3 linked regions of the Drosophila melanogaster genome follow. The gene in region 3 interacts genetically with the main gene of each other region. Each region holds a gene or a part of one and is shown on either strand. Other genes may lie near its edges.

The links. Genes that interact genetically often act in the same process or in processes that back each other up.
Region 1: of RacGAP84C (region 3) and MESR4, changing one suppresses a phenotype caused by changing the other (phenotypic suppression), as found in Drosophila melanogaster (one study listed by BioGRID).
Region 2: of RacGAP84C (region 3) and rho-6, changing one enhances a phenotype caused by changing the other (phenotypic enhancement), as found in Drosophila melanogaster (one study listed by BioGRID).

The regions. Positions count from the first base shown.
Region 1 is NT_033778.4:17,546,256-17,552,426, forward strand, and holds the start of MESR4 (misexpression suppressor of ras 4), read left to right. Parts: upstream 1-1,513; 5' UTR 1,514-2,279; intron 2,280-2,630; 5' UTR 2,631-2,707; intron 2,708-2,813; 5' UTR 2,814-2,831; coding exon 2,832-5,136; intron 5,137-5,188; coding exon 5,189-6,171. Other genes in the region: cyp33 (cyclophilin-33), read left to right, coding at 1-129; RpL18A (ribosomal protein L18A), read right to left, coding at 216-731, 1,154-1,171.
Region 2 is NT_033779.5:12,128,358-12,135,305, forward strand, and holds rho-6 (rhomboid-6), read right to left. Parts: upstream 5,055-6,948; 5' UTR 4,983-5,054; coding exon 4,737-4,982; intron 3,079-4,736; coding exon 2,935-3,078; intron 2,709-2,934; coding exon 2,529-2,708; intron 2,461-2,528; coding exon 2,239-2,460; 3' UTR 2,159-2,238; downstream 1-2,158. Other genes in the region: CG17211 (uncharacterized protein), read left to right, coding at 1-56, 161-1,272.
Region 3 is NT_033777.3:7,282,328-7,289,707, forward strand, and holds RacGAP84C (Rac GTPase activating protein at 84C), read left to right. Parts: upstream 1-3,634; 5' UTR 3,635-3,777; coding exon 3,778-4,097; intron 4,098-4,233; coding exon 4,234-5,041; coding exon of another isoform or gene 5,042-5,065; exon of another isoform or gene 5,066-5,124; intron 5,125-5,161; coding exon 5,162-5,188; 3' UTR 5,189-5,302; downstream 5,303-7,380.

The sequences.
Region 1 (6,171 bases), on a different chromosome or scaffold from region 3:
AACAAGCACGTCGTTTTTGGCCATGTCATCAGTGGCGCCGAGGTGGTGCGCAAGATGGAACGTTGTGGCTCCAAGTCGGGCACTCCCAGCCAAAAGATTGTCATATACTCCTGTGGAGAACTCAAATAAAGAAGCTTTCACAACTAGTGTACTCTTCAACGTTCTCATTTATTGAAAAAATCCACTAAGTCATAGGTATAGGATGCAGGAGAATCCTACTGGAAGTAGGTCCTGGGCTTCCTGAACGAGAACAGTTTCCTGTTGCCCTTGTGGTGGACACGCTGGACCAGAGGGAACTTGATCTTTGAATCGTGGAACTGCTTCACGTGCACGCGGCGGGTCTTGGCGGCAGGGATCGAGTCCACCTTAATGATCTGGATGGAGTGGGCACGGGCACGGTGGCGGGCTCCCATGTCGCGGTAGCACTGAGTGACGGCACCGCCGACAGTCAGGTCACGGTACTCGCGGTACATGTTGTGGGTGCCCGAGCGGGAATCGTAACGCAGCCAGATGCCGAAGTTCTTGATCTTCACGGGCGACGTCTCGTACACCTGCTTGATGGACACGATCTCGCCGGTGGTCTTCTTGAACTTCTTCAGTTGGCGCAGGAAGTACCAGAAGCGGGATTTGGCCACGATGTTGTCGGGGGCAAAGATGCGCATCTTGTAGAGGGGAGTCTGGGGCTCCTTCTCGCTGGGCAGCTTGCGGCCCACGACCTCGTACTCCTTCAACTGCAAATGGGATTTGGATTAGTTTAAATGGTCTACATAAAACAATTGTAAACAAATGCGAACAGTCGCAGGCAAACAAACACACGCATGGCTGTTGGTTTTTGAAGGTTATGTTTTCGGCGGCACAAAGCAGTTGTATTTCTATTATATTGAATATGTTTGAATAGTTAGTTATAAATTCGTACTGAATAATAGTTTCTCACAATTATGTAAATTACTTTTGTGAGTTAGATAGGATCACATTTTTAAGAAAAGTGGCTCGGCAAACATTGTCCACGACAATGTCGTTTTTTACACAGAAATTACGGAGTTTTAAAAAATCCAACGATTACGCCAAATAGGCTATGTTTTTGCTTATCTGTTGCACGCATTTTAAACTAAAATAATGATTGTATAAATCATTTATTTTGGCAAATACTAACCAATCCCTTGGCTCTCATGTTGGACGTTCACGCGAAAAGGAAACGGAAAGAGCTTGTCAAATCGGTATGACACTGAACCTCGATTCAGGGATGGAAAAAACTATCGATAGCTAACTACGAATATTAGTTATGATTGATCCACTGTGATACTGGACGTGCTATAATGGTTCGTTTAAAATTAAGATAATTACTCAAGATAATATTTTTAAATAGCCCGTGTAAATAAGATTTTAACAATAATTGCTGGTACTGGCCAAGTATCGATATGCTTACATTGAACCGCAAGGGAAAAGCACAGCGATGCCTGTCACACGGTTGCATTTTTGGCAGTCACACCAACACGCTGCGCCAGCTATCGAACTATCGTCCATCACTAGCTTCTGCGCGTGTTTCAATGGCATGGCTGTAAAAAAGGCGAAAAATATTGCTAAAAACTTGTTTTTCACGCTTTATTCGAGCTCTCTCCGCAGCCAAATTGTGAAATATCCAATCCCCATACGCTACCCAATGTGCAGCTACTAAAATACGGTGAAAAAGAGCGCGAACAAATCGAGCAGAACGTAAAATGCAAAGCGTGGACGGCGACGTTCAAAAAGAAGAACATTTTTTACCCCGCACAAGAGACGCGCAAAAAGGCAAAAAAGCAATTCGACAATATCATTGTGCTTCTGGTCGAAACTAAGCCCAACGGCAATTGGGTGCACTTGTGAAATCTGTTTGCATTACGTATGCGAGTCCTGCGAGTTTATAAACAATTGAAACCAGGCGTTAATTGTATAAGTTCGCCGTGGGGTGGGGGCGCCCCGCTCTCCTTCCGAGCCGTCTCGGCTCGTCCAATCCAATCCGCTGGGCAAATTCTCTCGGTTTCGGTCTCTTTTTGGTTCAGTTGTGCAGCGAACTTCCGTGAAATCGGTTGTTGTTTTGGCTACGTTCTCTCCTTGCTGTTTGCGCGCGTAAAATTCATCGCTCTTTCTCTCCCTCTCTTGCCTTCCCACTCTCTCTCCCTCTGCCGCCTACAAATTGTGGGAAAATTCTACCTAAGCAGGGTACAGCAACAAGAACAACAACAGCAATAATACGCTGAGCAGAACCGACAAAACAACAGCAACGCATAGGAGGAGAGCAGGTAAATAAACGTGCATAATTGCTGTACATTTTGATTGTAGTGTCCATTCCAAGAATATTTCAAGTAAATTCGTTTATTTTTAGCAGTAAGTGGCTCTCACGTTGCCATTTTGTTAACATTTATTTTGGTATTTTCAATTATTTTGACTTTTCGTTTGCACCAGGGCTGCAAGATCAACCAATGACCGGCGATTTTTGTGCAATACAAATGTTTATGCCGTTAATATTCTGAAAAATTTATCGTGTATACCCCCGCATAAACATTTAGCCTTTGCTGTCATTCTAATTTTTTTTTATCGAAATACCAAACCCAATATCTCGTAATAATAAATTCGTTTCATTTCGCTTTCAGCTGCGTAAAGAACAACGAAAAGCATACAAGAAAAATAGCGAGAACCGGAACGGATTCAACGCCAACGGCATGCAAAGGTAATGAATATAACAATTTTTGTCTAAAGTGCGTTTAATTAATAGCGCTCTGATTATTTGTTTTTCTCCTCTTTTCTTAAATGTTATTATTGTTTTTTGCTGACAGCGTGTGATTGCAGATAATATGATGGAAGCATTGGATCAGCAACAAGCCAAGCTAACGTCTAACCGAGATGATGGAGAAGCGGGAAGAGGATCGGAAACGGGATCGGAAGAGGGCACCGGGGCAGGTGCAGCTGCTGGCGAAGAAGACGACATCGAAGAACTTCATTATGTGCTGGACCAGGCGAAGGAGGAAAACGAGAGCCACCAACATGGACAGAACAACAACGCTAAGGGAAATGAAGATGGGAAGCCGAAAAAGAACGATGACGTGATAGATGTAACCATGGCAAATGGCCAGGGTTTCAAAGACACACCTGAAGAAGAGACGACCGGAACGGAAGAGACAGCCGAAACGGAGGAGACAGCCGAAACGGAAGAGGCAGAGCAGGCAGAGGAATCTCTTCTTAATTCACGAAAAAGCACGGATACACCAGTCGATTTAGGAGCAAATTGCTTGACAACTGGCTCTCCCTCTAAAGATCTCGTAAAGCAAGAGCTTGTCGAAGACAAATCGGAGGAACTCAAAGAACCAACCAGCATCTCACTTAATGAGCAGTTCTTAGATGATATTGAACTAAAGACCGAAGTGGAGGACAAATCGGATTCCTTAAGTGAGACCCATATGGAGTTCTTAACGGATTCGGAAGAGCAGCCCTCAGAGTCTTTAGGGGCAAATCATGAGTCCGAAATCGATGAAAAGGTGGACCACTTCCAGCCAAAAGAATCTGACAGCAATGAAGTGGAGGATAAGTATTTTCAATCAGCAAATGAAGATTCCGAAAGCGAAATTGAGGAAACAGTGTACACCCCGCCAGTGATAAATCTTGAAACAGATTCTGAAAGTGGGGATAAAGAGTTCATATCAATTAAAGATAATGAGAGTCCTGTTTTGGAGATTGAAGGAGGGACAGAAAAGAGTCAGACTTCAGGAGATCTTTACCAAGCTGACGTTGGTGAATACGCTTCCACTGCACCGCCAGAAGTGGATGAGACTACATCGCAAACAATTGGTGTACCTTCTTTAGAGGGATCCGATACACTGGATTCTCCTTCGCTGACAATGGATGTAGATCTTCCATGCAGCGAAGACGGAGCGCCCCCTAATGTCATTAAAATCGAGTCTGATATGGAAGATGAAGCACACAGTGATAGTGTCAAGTTGAAAGAACATACTGTAGAGGTCGTTCCGTTGATAAAACTCAATGGGGCACATAAAGCTTTGAAAGAAGAGAAGCTCGAGGACGGGGAGGTCGAGGAGGTCGAGGATCCCGGCGAAGAGCTGGAAGACCCCAAGGAACAGTCTGTGATAACAAACCACACTGGCAACAACACTAAGGAGGAGGACACTACCGCTTCTCAGGTGTCAGCGCTTCCCCTGATTCTACCCGTTGGTACCACCCGTAGCAGAAGTATAAGCAGCAGGAGCAGCACTGTAAGCTCTGCTTCGCAGCCGCATCTGGTCATCGATCATCCAGAGAGCGAGCACAATGCCAAACCGCCGGCTCTGAAGCTTTCGCTGAAGCGCAGGCGCAGCAAGAGTTCCTCCGTCAGCCAACCCGAAAAACAAACAAAGGTGGAGGCAGGTGGCTTCGTTTCCTCGCTGCTTCTGCAACGCCTTCAGAGCAACTCTAATGTTATTCCGCCTGCCATCTCTACGGAGTCTCAACAAGTCCTTAGTTGTGCAAAGTGCAATTTGCAGTTCGATTTCGAAAGGTTTCAGGAGCTGAACAAGCACCAGGCCCAGTGCAGCGGGATCCAAAGTGCGAATAGTTCCCAGCTATCGCAGAAGCAGGAGCGATTCTTTCGTTGCTCCCAGTGTTGCAGCGTTCACCAGTGCTGGCACTTTTTTCTCCACATGCGTGAAGTCCACCGTCGTTACATTTGTCTATATTGTAATCATGTGTATCCCAGTGTAGAAAAGCTGTCGCTGCATCTAGAAAACAAGCATGACATCGACCAGAGTCACTTCGCTAAGGATGCGTGGGACCAGCAGCAGAGTAAGGAAGATAGAGCACGGCATCTCGTTTGTTGCACATGTCAAGCCACTTTTGTCCAAGGTTCTGAGTTTGAGGATCACGATTGCTCTCAACTGATGCAGCCGTGTGCCTTGTGCAATCAAAAGGGTGGCCATATCATTGGCTGCAAGAACAACAAACGGAAGCCTACGAAAAGGCGTCGAAAGGTGCGTAGACCCCCGGAACCGCCACTACCCGTTTCCCAGGAGGCGGTTGAACAACCCGTGCCCGTAGAGGCAATACCGGAACAACTTCCCCAACAGTTGCACCTGCAATCGGATATTCAGAATCCTTTCCCTGCAGAAAACAGTAAGAACAAATTGATTAAATTTTTAAAATGACATATCTAAATTTCGTATAGTTCCAGCGCCAGAGCCCGTAGAAGATCCTCCAGCGCCTCCCATTCCGAAATTGGTTGTGCCCAAAATTATGTTGCGGGTGCCTAAGGAATTCCAGAAGTCTGTGGATGCAGCCCTAAGCAGTACGGATACGGAGGACGAGGAGCTAGAAACTGCACAGCCTGTGGAAGAGGCAGTGTCGGCACCACCCGAGGATCTACCTTTTGATGCACCGCCTCCTCCACCGCCAGCGCTTAGCTATGATGACTCGACTTCGTCTAAGCTAAATCGTGTTCTGGCAGAACTGGAGCGCACCAAGCTGGACATTGAGCGAACCAAGGCGGATATAATTACCAAAAAACAGTCCAAGATTATTATGGCCAATGCACATTTGGAAAACGTTGTGCCACAGGTTGTAGATCCTCCTCAGCACCTGCAGCCACAGCAGGAGGAACAGCGTCGTTGGTCACTAACGCCACCTGCGTCGCCCCACAACAATCACGTCAATCTTCCAGAACCTCCGCCAGCTTTAATTACGGAATTTCAAGGTCAGCCCGATGCAGTGCGTCGCAACAGCCTCGGCAGCGATTGCATGGACATGGATGATAGTTTGAATGCACCAGAGATGGAAGGTAGTAGGGACTTTACGGAGGCCCAGAAGGAAACTCTGGAGCCAGCCCCACCTTCGCAGGATACACAAACTGCTGACGAACCGCTTGCCATTCAGCCGCTTCCACCCGCCGATGGCATTATGGTAGCTGGACCCGACACCCACACGGTGGATCTGCAACTTGATCGTCCTCTCGACCGGTTTTCAATGGTGGATTTTGTGCGTTTGTGCTTAAAATCTGTGTACTCCTTATGCCTATATTGCAATCACGCTCGAAGGATCGCAGTAAATGTAAAACAGTTGGTGATTCATTTAATAGGCCAGCACAGATTTACAGCTACGGTGGATAGCATTACAGCTGAGGAACTGTACGCAGAGACAATTGTAGCCAAACTA
Region 2 (6,948 bases), on a different chromosome or scaffold from region 3:
GCACATTATCGACATCACAACCTCGGGCGCACAGGAAAATGATACTGCTTCAATAGGTGAGTTGAAGTTTTTAGAACTTTAACAAGCTTGTATATTCTTGCACCGCACTGAATTTGAGAGATTTATCTAAAAATGTCCACTTGGTTTTGCCCTTTTACAGAAATCACTACACCCGACCCCTTCAAAGATGTCATACACACAGAACCGTCGCCCAATCTCGATGAACTAATCGTTGACAAGGCGAACAAAAAGCCGATTGAAGAGCATATCGAGACCGTCACTTACAGTGTTAGCAACTCAACAGCCTCCTCCATATCGTCATCCACAAGCGGCACAACCAGCACAACCAGCACATCCACGTCGACGACAACGGAAAAGGAAGCCCCCTTGATAGATAAATATGAAATCAATAAATTGGATAAGCTCTTGGATGAGCTGCTCGGTATGGAGTTGTCCGAAGAGGATGCAGCAAGCAGGACAGTGCCTGCATTTAAGCAACTGCCTACGGCAACGCCAACGATAGCAAAATCAACAACAGCAGCAACAGCAACTGCAGCAGATGCGAGTGCAACAGCAGCAACAGCAACTGCAGCAATTGCATCAAGCACGGCTGCAACATCGACCTCTGGTCGGCCAACAGTGACGACACGTGCTCCGGCCAAAAAGGGAAACGGCAAAACGAAAAACAAACAGACCAGCGGCAATAGACGCAAAGTCCAGAGTGGCACGCGACGCCAGAGTACACCGGCAACCACTCGATCCCCGCCAGCAGCGACATCAACGGCATCAACTGCGTCAACAACCGCGGGGCTTGCCACAACAACGGGGAGCACTCTGCATCCATTTTTAAACTCACCGTTCGACAAATTACCCTTCATGGATACCAGCTATGAGGTAAGACCGCACAGATTGCAACCGCAGCAACAGCAGCAGCAGCAAGCACCGCAGCAACATGAGCAGCCACCGCAGCAGCAATTCCACCATTACCAGCATGCAACGCGACCGCCGACAGCAGCCCCATCAGCAGCGTCATCATCCCCGGAGGATGTGCACCAGGATTCAGGTTCTGGTTCGGTTGAGCGGACTGGTGGAGGCGGACTGGTGGGTGGACTTCCGGGTGGCGATGATCCGCTTGGTCAGTTGAAATTGGCTGGCTGCAACATATACGGACGCATGTATCGGGTGGGTCGGATTATTGTGGAGCTATCCAGCCAGTGCCTGGAATGCAAATGCACCGAGGTGGGCGTCAAGTGCGGCCCATTAGACTGTTAATTTAGATATCCCCCCCCCCCTACGATTGTAATCCCCCCAGGAAGTCTGTAGCGGTTAAGTTTCAGTTTGTAGCAGTAGCTTTTAGTTCGTATTGTACTACAGGGTAGTTTAGGCCTTCTCAAGACCCTAAGTTGTATTATAGAAAAAAATGATTAATATATTTAAAACTTAGCATGGCATTTATAACATACAATAATTAAGGCTATAATTAAATAAGAAGTACACGAAATATATTTAATAAAACTAACAAATAAATTATCAAAATCTAAAGTCTTTGTTTTGAATTATTACACTTTATTATTTATTTTGATGAAAAGTCAAACAACAACCAACAAATTGGTTTATAAATATTGATCGCATTTCAACCTTGTGACAAATAACAAATTGCTAGTTTGGGGAAATGTTTCTACGAATTGTGTTGAATTTAATTGCACATCAAGATCATTATGGAATCCATGAGTTTAAATTAAACATTCCTGTCTGCGTCAGCATTAATTGGCCAAAGCCAATCGATGAGTAATTAATAAATTCTATACAGACTTATTCAGTTAGCAAGTATAGGCCAATTAAATGTGTGGCGAGTGAAGAGCACAAAAAACAAGCCATAAAACATGGCCCACCCTTTCTTTATGAGGTGTAAATTTAATGTTTATTCATAACACCGAAATTAAACATTAACCACGACGATAGAATAATAATTTTCAATGGATTTTGCGACCAAATAAAAGACAGTCCACACAGGAAATATTTATTTAGGGACTGTTGGATTGTCAGAATATTAAATAGTCTAAGAAGTTGTTGAACTTTTTGCAGGTTTAATAATCAGACATTAATTGCGTTTAATGATTGATCTTTATCGGCTATAAGATAAAAGTCTTTCATGACTGCCTTCAATTTGTTTTAAAACGTATTTTTCACTATGATATAAATATAATATATATTTGAATGGAACTATCTTATTTGAGACTAAAAGTAAATGGCCTTTTGATTGGCTGGCTGCAGGCGTCGATAGACGATGAAACCGCACAGAATTCCGGCCACGCCCCCTCCAATATGCGCCTCCAGACTGGTGCGCGGATTGCGATTGTGATTGTGGCAAAAGTGGTAAGTTGTAAAGCCCACATCGCTGAGTAACAATATCAGCAGGGAGGCGATGCGGGCAAAGCGGTGCGACAATTGCGAAAAGTTCTGTTCGACAAAGTAGGGATCGTGTAAACATTAAATCAAAATTAAATTGCGGTTTCCAGCTGACTGACCAGAACCAGGTGCGGCACATGACTTCCCAGCATGGCGTAGACCCCAGCGGAGGCACCCATCAGATGGAGATGGGGCTGCAGCCAGGCATTGGCCAGCGAACCAGCGACGCCACCCACCATATAGACCACGGCCAGACGCCAGTGACCCTGCTCCACTTCCAGGCAGATACCTATAAAGCACTGGCAGAGACATTAACCTTCTTAGTAACACAATGCAACAACAGGTGGCTAGCGACAGGATGTGACTATCGAATTACTGCCAACTACTAAGTGCTTTATGGCATTTAAACGAGCAGTTTAGGAAATATTAAAGTCGTTGCTTCACAAAGTGAATCTCTATAGCTACTTTAACTTTGTTGATTCGAACTATTGTTTAGAGTTCATTAGGTCAAAGTTGGGTACTCACCTGAAAGCAAATGTTGAGAGACAGATGCCAGTAATCGGAATGGAGCAGCATATAGGTCAGTAGGCGCCAGTACTCGACGTTCCATTCCGGTTTGAAGATCAGTACTTTTTGCATACACTCACTAGCTATCCAGTGCAAAGATATCTGGTAATGAGCAAAGAAGATTACATTGCACCATACTGCATGGAACTTGAAAAAATTTAGAGCAACATATATTTAGGGTAGTTATCTGACACTTTATGTAATAACATACTTTGGTAGAATATTTGGAATTTGAATATAGCTTATTCACAAGCAAAATTAGAATTTTATGTACAAGTGTAGTAAAGTAATGCAATTCATGATAACTTCTTCTTGTTAAGAATTAAACTCAGGCAAGTGGCAGTTTTCGATTGAAATCGTGAGAAGTAAGTTGTCTTCGCCATAACGAAGCAATCCCAACTTTGCTGAACAGTGTCATGGTAACTGGCTGTCACTTTCGCTCAATCGATCGACACTTGGCCAACTGCAAAGTGCGAGTGTTGAGTTGAGATGCCGCACAATGCGCGCCGCATGAGTTGACAGCAGCCGCAGAAACACGGCGGTGACACCAAATCGGTGCAACATGCATCCCGATCCCACCAAATATGACAAATGCCAGAGCTCCAAGTTGCAGCACTCGATCAATCCGATGACTAAAATGGCAATATTGCTAAATCGGACGACTAAGCGACGCGTTCGATTGTGTAATCATTATCGATTTCTGGGTTGGGCCAAACAATAAAACCTTTCAAATCACCGATCTGCATTACTAAGTGTGCAGAGTGTGTAATGAAGGTATGCAGTCAGGTATTAATTAATGAGTTTCAAATTAAATAGGCCACACTTGTGGGACTTTGTTTCGAAGACAATTTCCCAGGGGCCAATTGGCAATTAAGCGGTTGAGCACTTGATAGAAGAAAAAACAAATGACCAACTTAAAATGGCTAATTTGTCTTATAATATGTTGCCCAAACACAACTTTTATTCACGTTAAATAACTAAAAATCGAAAAGTAATTGTATCAAAGGACAAATTTATCAGTGATGTCTAAATAAAACCTCTTAAAACACATTCATTTTGTCTGTTTGTTGTGCATTTTGATTGAATGGATTGGTGTAATATATCACTTATTTTCCGCTTAGTTAAAACCGCAATAAATCCGCATACGTAAACTATTGAAAAAATTTTCCAGTGAATGAAAATTCATATGAATTGAAAAGCAATTATTTACGAAGCACTCACACAATGGCACCATACACGGATAAACAAAACAAAAGCAAACGAAATGTTTTGTTTAAAACAAATCAAGTAAAAAGATTCTTATTAAGATGCGGGAGTATAAACAAACACATTGTAGATCACTTATGTTAGCTTTTTTTTTAGCTAAACATGAGTAAGAAATTAAGAGCTTATCAGTTCAAAGTTCATAATATTTTGTTGAATATAAAATTCTTTAAACTCTGTTTTTATATTTGTGATTAATATTTTAAAATTCGTTTCACATTAAGGAATTCATAACTCAATTAATTTAACATTGATAAGCACCGCCGTAGTCATCACATATAGTTTCACCTTTGACACATTCACAGGTAATTTATTAGCCTACGTAATTTCTTATCTGACGGAGGGCTTTTCATCTATACACATCGTATATAGATGATTTTCTGAATTGAACACACGCATCACAAAATCACTCATACGCCACGTTGACGGGCAGACAAAAAAGGAAAACACAAAATAATAGAGAATCGAACAAGTGGAGCAACTGCATAAAATCGAACCTGCACAAAACTCATCAGCAAAATAAACCAGGGCACCCGCCACAATCGCTTCCTCCTCACATGGCCCACGTCAATGGTTCGTGTCAGGTCATCAATGAATTTCTTGTGCGATTCCGCACTGAATGCGACACTCGCCGGATTGCCATCCGAATCCGTGGAATTCTCCGGCAGCAGCAGGAGCCTGACATCCTTGACGCAATTGTTATTACTTTCACTGGCACCATTGCTCTCCACTTGGGCAGACATAATGCGATTCGAAGTCGGCGGCGACAACCGATGCACGGAACGTTGAACGCGCGACTAGGCCGAGTGGGTGATTGTTCTTTCAAATGCCCCACGATCCATTCCGATCCGATCGAATCACGCCGGTTGCCTACAACATCATTGCGAGCATTGTGCTAATACAGTGATTTTGGGACTTTCAGAAGCATGCTTTTAGGCGGCCTACGGTTTTTGTCTCGACTGCATCTTATTTTAAGAAAAATCTTGAGATCACTTCAAGATATTATTTTCTTTATTACGAAATTGGTAGTTATTATGTATAATATGTTTTGAAACTTTTTTATAGAACGATTTACAGGGAATAAGTTTGAATAAATTGTATGACAGATAGCTGGTGCCGCGAGGCGCTACAAAATATTGGACGTCACCAGTGCAGCAGGACGAGGTTCAGGACCAGGATACGGCAGTGACAGTGGAGCTTCATTTAGCGACCACATGTTGGTAGGGTAGGTAGGTAGTTAGTGTTGTTGGCGCGTAATCTCATTGATTACATTTTGTTACATTTAGGATAATATTATAAATAATTATTGTACATTATTAGTCATTGTGTCATTGTGATGTTAATTTCTTACATTTTACACTTACAATAACAATTACAACTGAAATATAATTTAAATACCACCATTTCCTACATAGAATTTTCTCTTATTTTAAAAACATTTCCTTGGCATTTGACATTTTGGTGCGGGCGATGTTGCACGCAGGTTGCAGCAACAATTCCGAGGAGCAAACACAAACACAGAAATGTGGTGAGAAGCACTCGCTCTCTTGGCAGTAGCGATTAAGCTTTCAGAGAGAGCTTTTTTTTACTCATTTCAAAGTTTATGCTTTAACAAAAAAGAGACAATTTGTAGCAGTCTTCTCATTCTCGGTTTTTTTTCGGTTTTTCTTCTCCTAAAGATTTATCTTGATGATTTCAACAGCTGTTTTACATTATCAGAATGAAAATATTGCGATCGCATACATAAGCATGTACAATAAGCCATGATTCCAATTACAAGACTATATTATAATTGAAACACAAATTTAATAGTTCCGAAATGTTTTAAAAAATAAGAAAAAATTAAACCTACGAAATGGGTGTGTTGTAATTGTAATTGTTATTGTGTTTTGAATTTTACCTAGTATAAAAACAAAATCCACAAATCTTGTTTTTCAATCCTCTTTACCAAACCGTTCGCAAATTCAACTGCAAGTGAAAGTGCAAGAGGAAAATTTCTCTCTCTCTTTCGTTTGGCAGCAGGCGTCTCTTTCTACGTTGGACACGTGGTGGGCGTGGGCGTGGGCGTTGATGGTGGGAGGCGACTGTCAACACCGAATGCTTGGTTATGAATGGCTTTTAATGAAATATTTATGTAACAAGCAATAAAGAGCACTTTTGGCTTCTCGGCGGATGCGAAAGAGATGGCAGCATTGCGAAATAGAAATGTCGAAAGAGAGGGGGGGATGCACAAGAGCGTTGGAAATAATTGTTTGGCTAGTTAAGTTTGACGCTACGTTGAACTAAGATAAAGCAAACACATAAACGAGGAAACACACACTTGGCACAACACACAACCGTGGACACACAAATAGCAGTGGTTTGTTAAATTTTGCTAGTGAAATGTAACTTAATTACATGATGTCAATTTTCATTTTACTACGTTGTGTATAAACAATATAAATATTTTATCATTTTCTCGCCTTACACCATCTTAATTCTTAATTCTCTGACTTAAACAGCAACTGAACTTGCACGCATTTTTCTCAGTGCTTGTCGTAAACTTCCTTTGCTGGTTGTGTTGCCAGAAGTCATTAACAGTCAACGGCTACGTGCCACAAAAGTGGGAGATACACCCTATAAACGGCAAACTGACAAATGCGGCAAGGCCGAAGGAAAGCAAGAAAGTTGGCTACTAAGCCAGACCCCAGGCACATATCCCGGCTGATG
Region 3 (7,380 bases):
CAGCCAAGCGGTAACTTCGAAAAAAAGCAGCGGCCGCAGCAGCAGCAGCGCCAACAACTAAGCGAGCAAAAAAAAAAAAACCAAATACAACAAAAAAAGGACATAGCAAAAAAACCGAAAAAATATCCAAACGCACACAGAGAAAAAAGTTTTGGTTGCATAGGCGGCGAGCTGTGGCGTCGCAGTCAGCGCCTCTGCTGCCGCTATTCAAATGCTGCGACGCCGGCAGCGCTGCCACCTGCCAGCAGCAGCAACAACAACAGCACAGGAGCAGCGCCAACATTGACCCAAACTCAAAGAGGAGCGGAAAGGGGGTGGGGCAGGGGGCTCTAAAAAACGCGGAAAAAAATTGTGTAAAAAAATAAAGGGGAATTTTGCGCCGGCGACAAACCCACGCACACAAGCACATGGCCATGCCAATACACTCACACAGACGCACTGGAATTTTTTTCGCTGTTAGCCTTTGCCGCCCCAAATATCCTGTCTGCCCCACCCCCTGTTAGCCACCCCCTGCCACCATTTTTTTGCATTTTGTTTTGTTCGACTTTGATGCGAACGTACTTTTTTTTATTGCGCAAAAGAGAGGGGAATGCCGCAAGAGAAGGAGAAAGAGAGAGAGAGCGAGAGCACACGTTTCATTTGACTTTGCAGGCTGTTTTTGTGTGCTTTTGAATATGTTTGTGATTTGTTTTTGTTTGGCACTGGTCAACAATTAACAAAAGTCATTATTGTGGCTCCGCATTTATTCCGGCGATATTTCAGCTAAAATACCGTTAACTGGCAGATTAATCAATAGCGCCGGGAAGTAGGCAACTGTTTTGCTGGCCGCCTTGTTTCTGTGGTTGCGCTTTCTAGCACTCAATCAGCCCCACATGGGTTTCGCTAGAAATCCCCAAAAAATGTGGCAGCGAACGGGTGGCCGCCCCCCAAAGGGGTGGGCCCAAGCAGAACTCACCTCGGGCAGTCGAAAAGCAGCAGAAAAAGCAGGAAAGGCAGCAGCCTCCGCCCTGACCTAAGCCACCGCGCTGGCTTAACTGCCAACAGCAACCACCTCACATTTGGCCACCCACTCCGCCCACTATAGCCCATTCAGCCCCCCACCGCCGGCCAACCCCAGCTACCCCCAGCCATCCCAAACCACCCCACTGCAGCCCTCTGCAGCCCTCTGCCGGCGTCGACGTTTGTCTGCTGCCGTGGTTGCTGATATTTCTAAGTTCTTTTTTTCGCATTGCAACCTTGCCTCAACTTCTTCGCCCAGCACAACCCACCCCCGCTCTTTTTTCTTCCCAGCAGTTTGCACATTTTTCCCAGCATTTTTTCCATTTCCATTTGCTGTGCATTTTTTTCTCTTGGCGCCCCTCCTTTTTCCAATTTTTTTCCTGCCACAGGAAATAAATTTTTTCCTTTCTGTCGCCCCGTCTCGCTTGCACCTTGTGCATTTTGAACCCCCCCCCCCCCCGTTCGCAAAACACAATCATTTTTTTGCAGTCATTTCCCCACCGCTTTGGTGGTGTTGCTATTGCTGTTGCATTTGCATCTGTGTTTTCGCTTTTAGATTTTGTTTTTTAGGTTTTTGCATCCTGGCCGGCGGCAGAAAGAAAGGGAGAGGAAGAGTCTTAAAAAATAGCAGAGTTGCCATTGAAAAATACAATTTATTATAAATTGTTGTTTTTAGTGCCCAACTAGAATTGGGTTAGACAAAGCGACGATTGAGGCGGAATTCTTTAACAGGTTGTTTTGCGATTTATAGTTCAATTCACAAAAGGTCACTTAGTGAACTGATTTTTTGTCCTTAAAATCATATTGGTCATCTTATGTGTAGGCCAGCTTTTCAGAATTTGAATATCTAGTTTTATCCCACATACTGGTGGGTGTTAATATTTCTATTTCTATGTGGATATTTTAAGAGTGTTCCCTAGTAGCTAAATGATATACATCTGAGACTTTTAATTAATTAATTGCTGATTTCATGGTTTTAGTACAGAAAACCATGTGCTAAGATGTTTTTAAGCAACATCCTGAATCTATAACAATTGCGTTAAACTTTTTCATTCTGTTAAGAAGCTTTAAAGTTGAAATATTTTGAGCTCGATGCAACCAAATAATTCCTTAAATTTTGGAGGCACCGGATAAAAACATTTTGATCAACTTTTGTGTGTGAAAAATTAATTATCACCACGTGGCAACACTGTCAACGTGCTTTGATGCCATTTTTTCCCACTCGTTTTTGCCCAGAACTCCCCTCTTTTTTGTATGTTTTGTGGATGTCCAAACATTTTTTATGCTGTTTTGTTGTGTTTCTGTACTTTTTTTTTTTGCTTTTTGGAATACGCAACGGACAGACACACACATAGGGCCACACACGTATTTGAACACACACAGTCAGAGGCGAATCAGAAAAAGTACAAAAAAGCATTTTGGGAAAAGTGGAGTGAGGAGTGAGGCAGGGGATTGCATGGGCTTATTGCGATGCGTGACTCGTATTTGTGGACTTTGAATACAAACAAAACAGTCGGACACAGATAGAAGCCCACACAAGTGCAATTATGAATACTACGCCCACACACACGCCGCATAATCACAGAGAGAGACACTCTCACTCACTGCAATGTGTGCATTTCAATACGCATTAATAACTACGAATTCAATGTGGCAGTGGCAACCATCCTTAGTATTTCAGCCCAAAGCTCACACACACCTAAACCCACACCCTCAAATGCTCACGCACACATAGGCACACCGGCGTCAATGCAGCTGACGCCTAAAAAACGACTACAAAAAAGCATAAAAATCCAATTCCCCGCCTTGCTCGTTAATTTTGCTGGCGCTGCTCTTCAATTCACAGCCCAAAACTGAAAAGTGCCATGATAATTTTGTTTTTACTCTATCCAAACTTTAAAATCGCATAAAAATCAATGCCAATGATGCCATTAAATCAACAGACAGATCCATGTTTCGTTTTCCACAAAAGTTCCAAGCTCGAAGTCCCTTTAAATTCTAATTTTTGTGTTTTTTTAGCAGCACGTTTACTCAACATTTTCGCTTTCTGACGTTCCGGCCTCACATGAACTGCAGCATTTTTTCGTGCTACATTTTTGCTGGTTGCATTCTATGTCTGGTGGCCGCAAAACGGTTTTCCATGAATTTTTCATCCATTTAGCGGCGCCATTGAGCCATTTTCTGGGCGCTTAGAATTCATAGATACTTTAGCAAATTGTTTTTTTAGTTCGATTTTCTACATTCTTTTTGTTTTTAGGGATTTTTAGCTTTTGTATCGTGACATTGAATCTCGGTGTGATTGATTGTCTTTAACGATTTAATTGAATCGAAAATATAAAAAGATCACCACTGACTTGTTTATATGAAGAAGACAGGGCAAATATCTGTTATTGTTAGGCACAAAAAATGTTTATAATAATTTGATTCACTTTTTTTTTGTATTGAAAACAGCATTTTTGATATTTCTTAGTAACACCTTAGTCGCCCATTAAATTTCTGCGGAGCACCCTAGATGTGTGTATGAATTATCCAGAAATATTTACAAATGTACGACCCACAGTAGGCACTCTCTATGGGTGATCGAATTTTTGTGCTGCCAGAACTATTTAAGCTATCAGCTTTCACCCGATTCCAAATAAACCGTAAGAGTAAATAAACATTTCGGTCGAGTATTCGGAGAAGCGAGCCGATAACTTCTGCGTAGCTGACTCAAGCCGAAGTGGCCTCTCTTCGGAAATTGCCAACTGACCAGAACAGCTGAATCAATTCGCCAACTTTATGATTAGTGGCTCTGGGAGTCGGACGCCCTCAAATCGACTTTATTTGTCGCCCGTTCGCCCCACGATGCAGAACAAACGGAGGCTTCTGCGGGAGTACAGGTCCTACGATGACCTCAGCGAGCACTACCGCATGTTTGGATCGCAGTCCCTGGACTCGCTGCAGGATCGCGTGGACATGAATCCCAGTGGCTGCGATGGCTTATCCACGGACGGACTCGACTTCTGCTCGCAGTCCCACTCGGGGCTGCTGAGGGAGCACAATTTCAAGATTAAGTCCTACTACTACAACGTGGGGAACTGCGTACACTGCCGCAAAAGGTGAGTTGCAATCACCGAATGGTGGAACTTCTGAGAGGATTTCGAATTCAGGGAAAACATGAAAAGTTAAATAACATCCCAACCCTCTCTGACCAGCATTTACCTCCCTAACCGCGTGTCCCTGGTCTTCTTCCAGGATCCGCTTCGCCATGGCCAGCCTGAGGTGTCGGGCGTGTCCGCTCCGCTGCCACATCGGTTGCTGCCGCCAGCTGACGGTGAACTGCATCCCCCAGCCTCAAATCGGTACGAAGAGAGGATGTCTCAGCGATTATGCGCCTCGGGTGGCGCCCATGGTGCCGGCCTTAATTGTCCATTGTGTAACGGAGATCGAGGCGCGGGGATTGCAGCAGGAGGGACTCTACCGGGTGTCCTCCACCCGAGAGAAATGCAAACGACTGCGTCGGAAGCTGCTGCGTGGCAAGTCCACGCCGCATTTGGGCAATAAAGACACCCACACACTGTGCTGTTGTGTTAAGGACTTTCTTCGGCAGTTGGTTCACCCTCTGATTCCCATTTACCACCGAAGGGATTTCGAGGAGGCCACGCGGCACGAAGATCGTCTGGCTGTGGAGATGGCGGTATATTTAGCGGTTCTGGAGCTGCATCAGGCTCACAGGGATACGTTGGCCTACTTAATGCTTCACTGGCAGAAAATTGCCGAAAGTCCTGCTGTCCGCATGACGGTCAACAATCTTGCCGTGATCTTCGCTCCAACTCTGTTCGGAGATCTGGATCTAACCCTCGAAAATGTCGTCACTTGGCAGCGGGTGCTGAAGGTGCTACTTCTGATGCCTGCCGGATTTTGGTCTCAGTTCTTGGAGGTCCATCCCCTTCCCACTTCGTTGGGCAGCACCTATGACTTTGAGGACCGGTACAATCACCGTCACTGGGACAGCTCGTCCAATCTGGGATGGTCTTCTGTTAAGACCTACTTTAGATCAATGGTAAGACCTATGGTTTCCCTTTAACGGATTTGGATAGAATTTCATATTCGAATAAGCCAAACTCAATACAAGCAATCAAACATATCATACAAATCTTTCACTGAATACTTCCTGTTTCAGGTCAACCTTAGCAGTACTCACCTATAGTGAAAGTCTTATGACTGAGACATCGAGAATGGATGCAGTCACCCTTTTTTATTTTATTTTGTATTTTTTTTCATTATTCACTACAGTTGAAGAACTAATAATAATTGGATCTCTAACATGTTGTGTATGTGTTGTTGAATTATATGCGGCTAACAAGAGTACTTGACATCTCAAGTGCAATACTTGATTTATTGAATCACCAAAAGATACTCTCAGAAAACACCCATTATTTCCATATATGAAATTCGGCTAATTAAATATAAAGCCAGGCCAAAATCTTATTCGCACCACATAAATAATCTAGCATGGCCCAGAGCGACGTTATCGCAAAACTATATATTTCGAGTATTGAAACATTAATAAACATTTTTAATTGAATTTGCAATTTTTTTCGCCGAACGTTGATTAATTCCCAACCGTTGAAAACATGTAAAAAATTAATAATTTCCATTTCCCATATTTATGTTTCTTTGAAGCGTAAACCAAAGCACAAAGTAAAATATTTTGCCGCGAACACATATAAATAAGTTAAAGCGCCAAGAAAAAAGTTAGCATTTTAAAAACAATTTGGAGAGTGCCGTGCAAAAAAGTGCGGCCATTAAATGCAAAAAACAAGCAAAGCAAAACAAAACTCGAATGCACTGGACGAGTGCATAAATAGACTCACTCCCAATATCAGTCGATCCGATCCCAAGCCAATACTCGTACATGGTCCAAATAATGTATAATACAATCAAAACAAACATAAAGCGAGACGGCAAGCGTGTGCGAGCAGTGGCGAACGAGGGCCGGGAGGGAAGAGCATTTGCAGTGCGCTTCTGTTGCTAACCGCCACAAATATCAAATGGGCTGGCAATTGTTGCAGTGGTCGCCCGTTAACGTTAACCAAATGCTAATGCCAAAGGCCACAAAACGCAGGCACGCACACCAGCGCGTTTTTTAGGGGCAGTTCGCACCAATACCGTGTCAGAAAAATGCAGCGAAAAAATGCAAAAATAAATAGGCAAAACAAAAATAAAAATAGTTTACATAATTCATGTATTATATCGGATCACATTTTAATGCTCGCCGCCGCGCCACTCTGCATGTGTGCGTGTGTGTGTGTGTGTACGTGTGCGTGTGCGGAAAACATTGCCTACTTGGGGGCGCGAGTTAAAATTGTTTAACAAATGGCATGACTGCAATGTATGTGAGTGTGTGTGGCTTGTTTGTGTGCGCCTGCATAATTCGCGTGCAGTTTTTGCTTTTTTAAGACTTTTTAGCCTATTTTTATTGTTAATTAAATGAGGGGAATAACAGACACAGTCCACCGAAGTGGAGCATGCAAGTGAGTGTGTGTGTATGTGCTCACGCTCTCGCGTGTCTGTGTGTGTGCGTGTGTTTGTTTTGATGTGCGCAACAAATTTGTGCAATTTTTCTATTTTTGTCGGCAGTTTTTCACCCGCTCGGGCATTTTCCGCTCGTTGTTCGCATGTAATTCACTAATTGATAGTGTGAGCTTGCCCCATACCGCCAAAACCGCCACGCCCCCTCCCGGTCGCGCCCCCCCGCTCCACTAACCACTTGTGTAATTGTGTTAGTGCCTGCCACACATGAGCTCACACAAAGTTGAAAGCGCAGCAAAGAATAATGGAAAAAAGTAAATGCAAATGTCAAACAAAACTAAAAAATTGCAGTTAAAAATAGTAGGAAGCGTATTATGCGTGGCGAGGTGGAGCGGAAAGAAAAACTGAAAACCAGAATCGCTCACCAATACTGGCACAGCGTGGTGCTAATAATAAGATAGGGTAAAAATCGCAGCGCACTTTTGCGTTTATTTCAGTTAATGCTGCACTTTTTTGCCGCTTTGCTAGGCGTGTTCTATAATTTTATGTAAGCTTTGTGTCGGTCGGCCCAAACAAGTGGGCGCGGCATGTGGTCCATAAAAAAGTTCCCTTTTTCCGTATTCTTCTTGCCGTTTTTTGTGGATAAGACAAATATTTTGTTGATGGTAAAAAAAACTTTAAAAAATACATGTCCGTGATTAATTTTGTTTTTAAAGGATTTCAATTACAATAAGGACTTTCCTTGGGAAAATAAATATTTGCGTTGAGTTTGGAATGTTATTTGTGGAGTGTTTTAAAAAGCTTAAAAATATGCAGGGAAATTATTAAATACAGAATGCATTTTTGCGTGTTGGATTTAACGGTGAG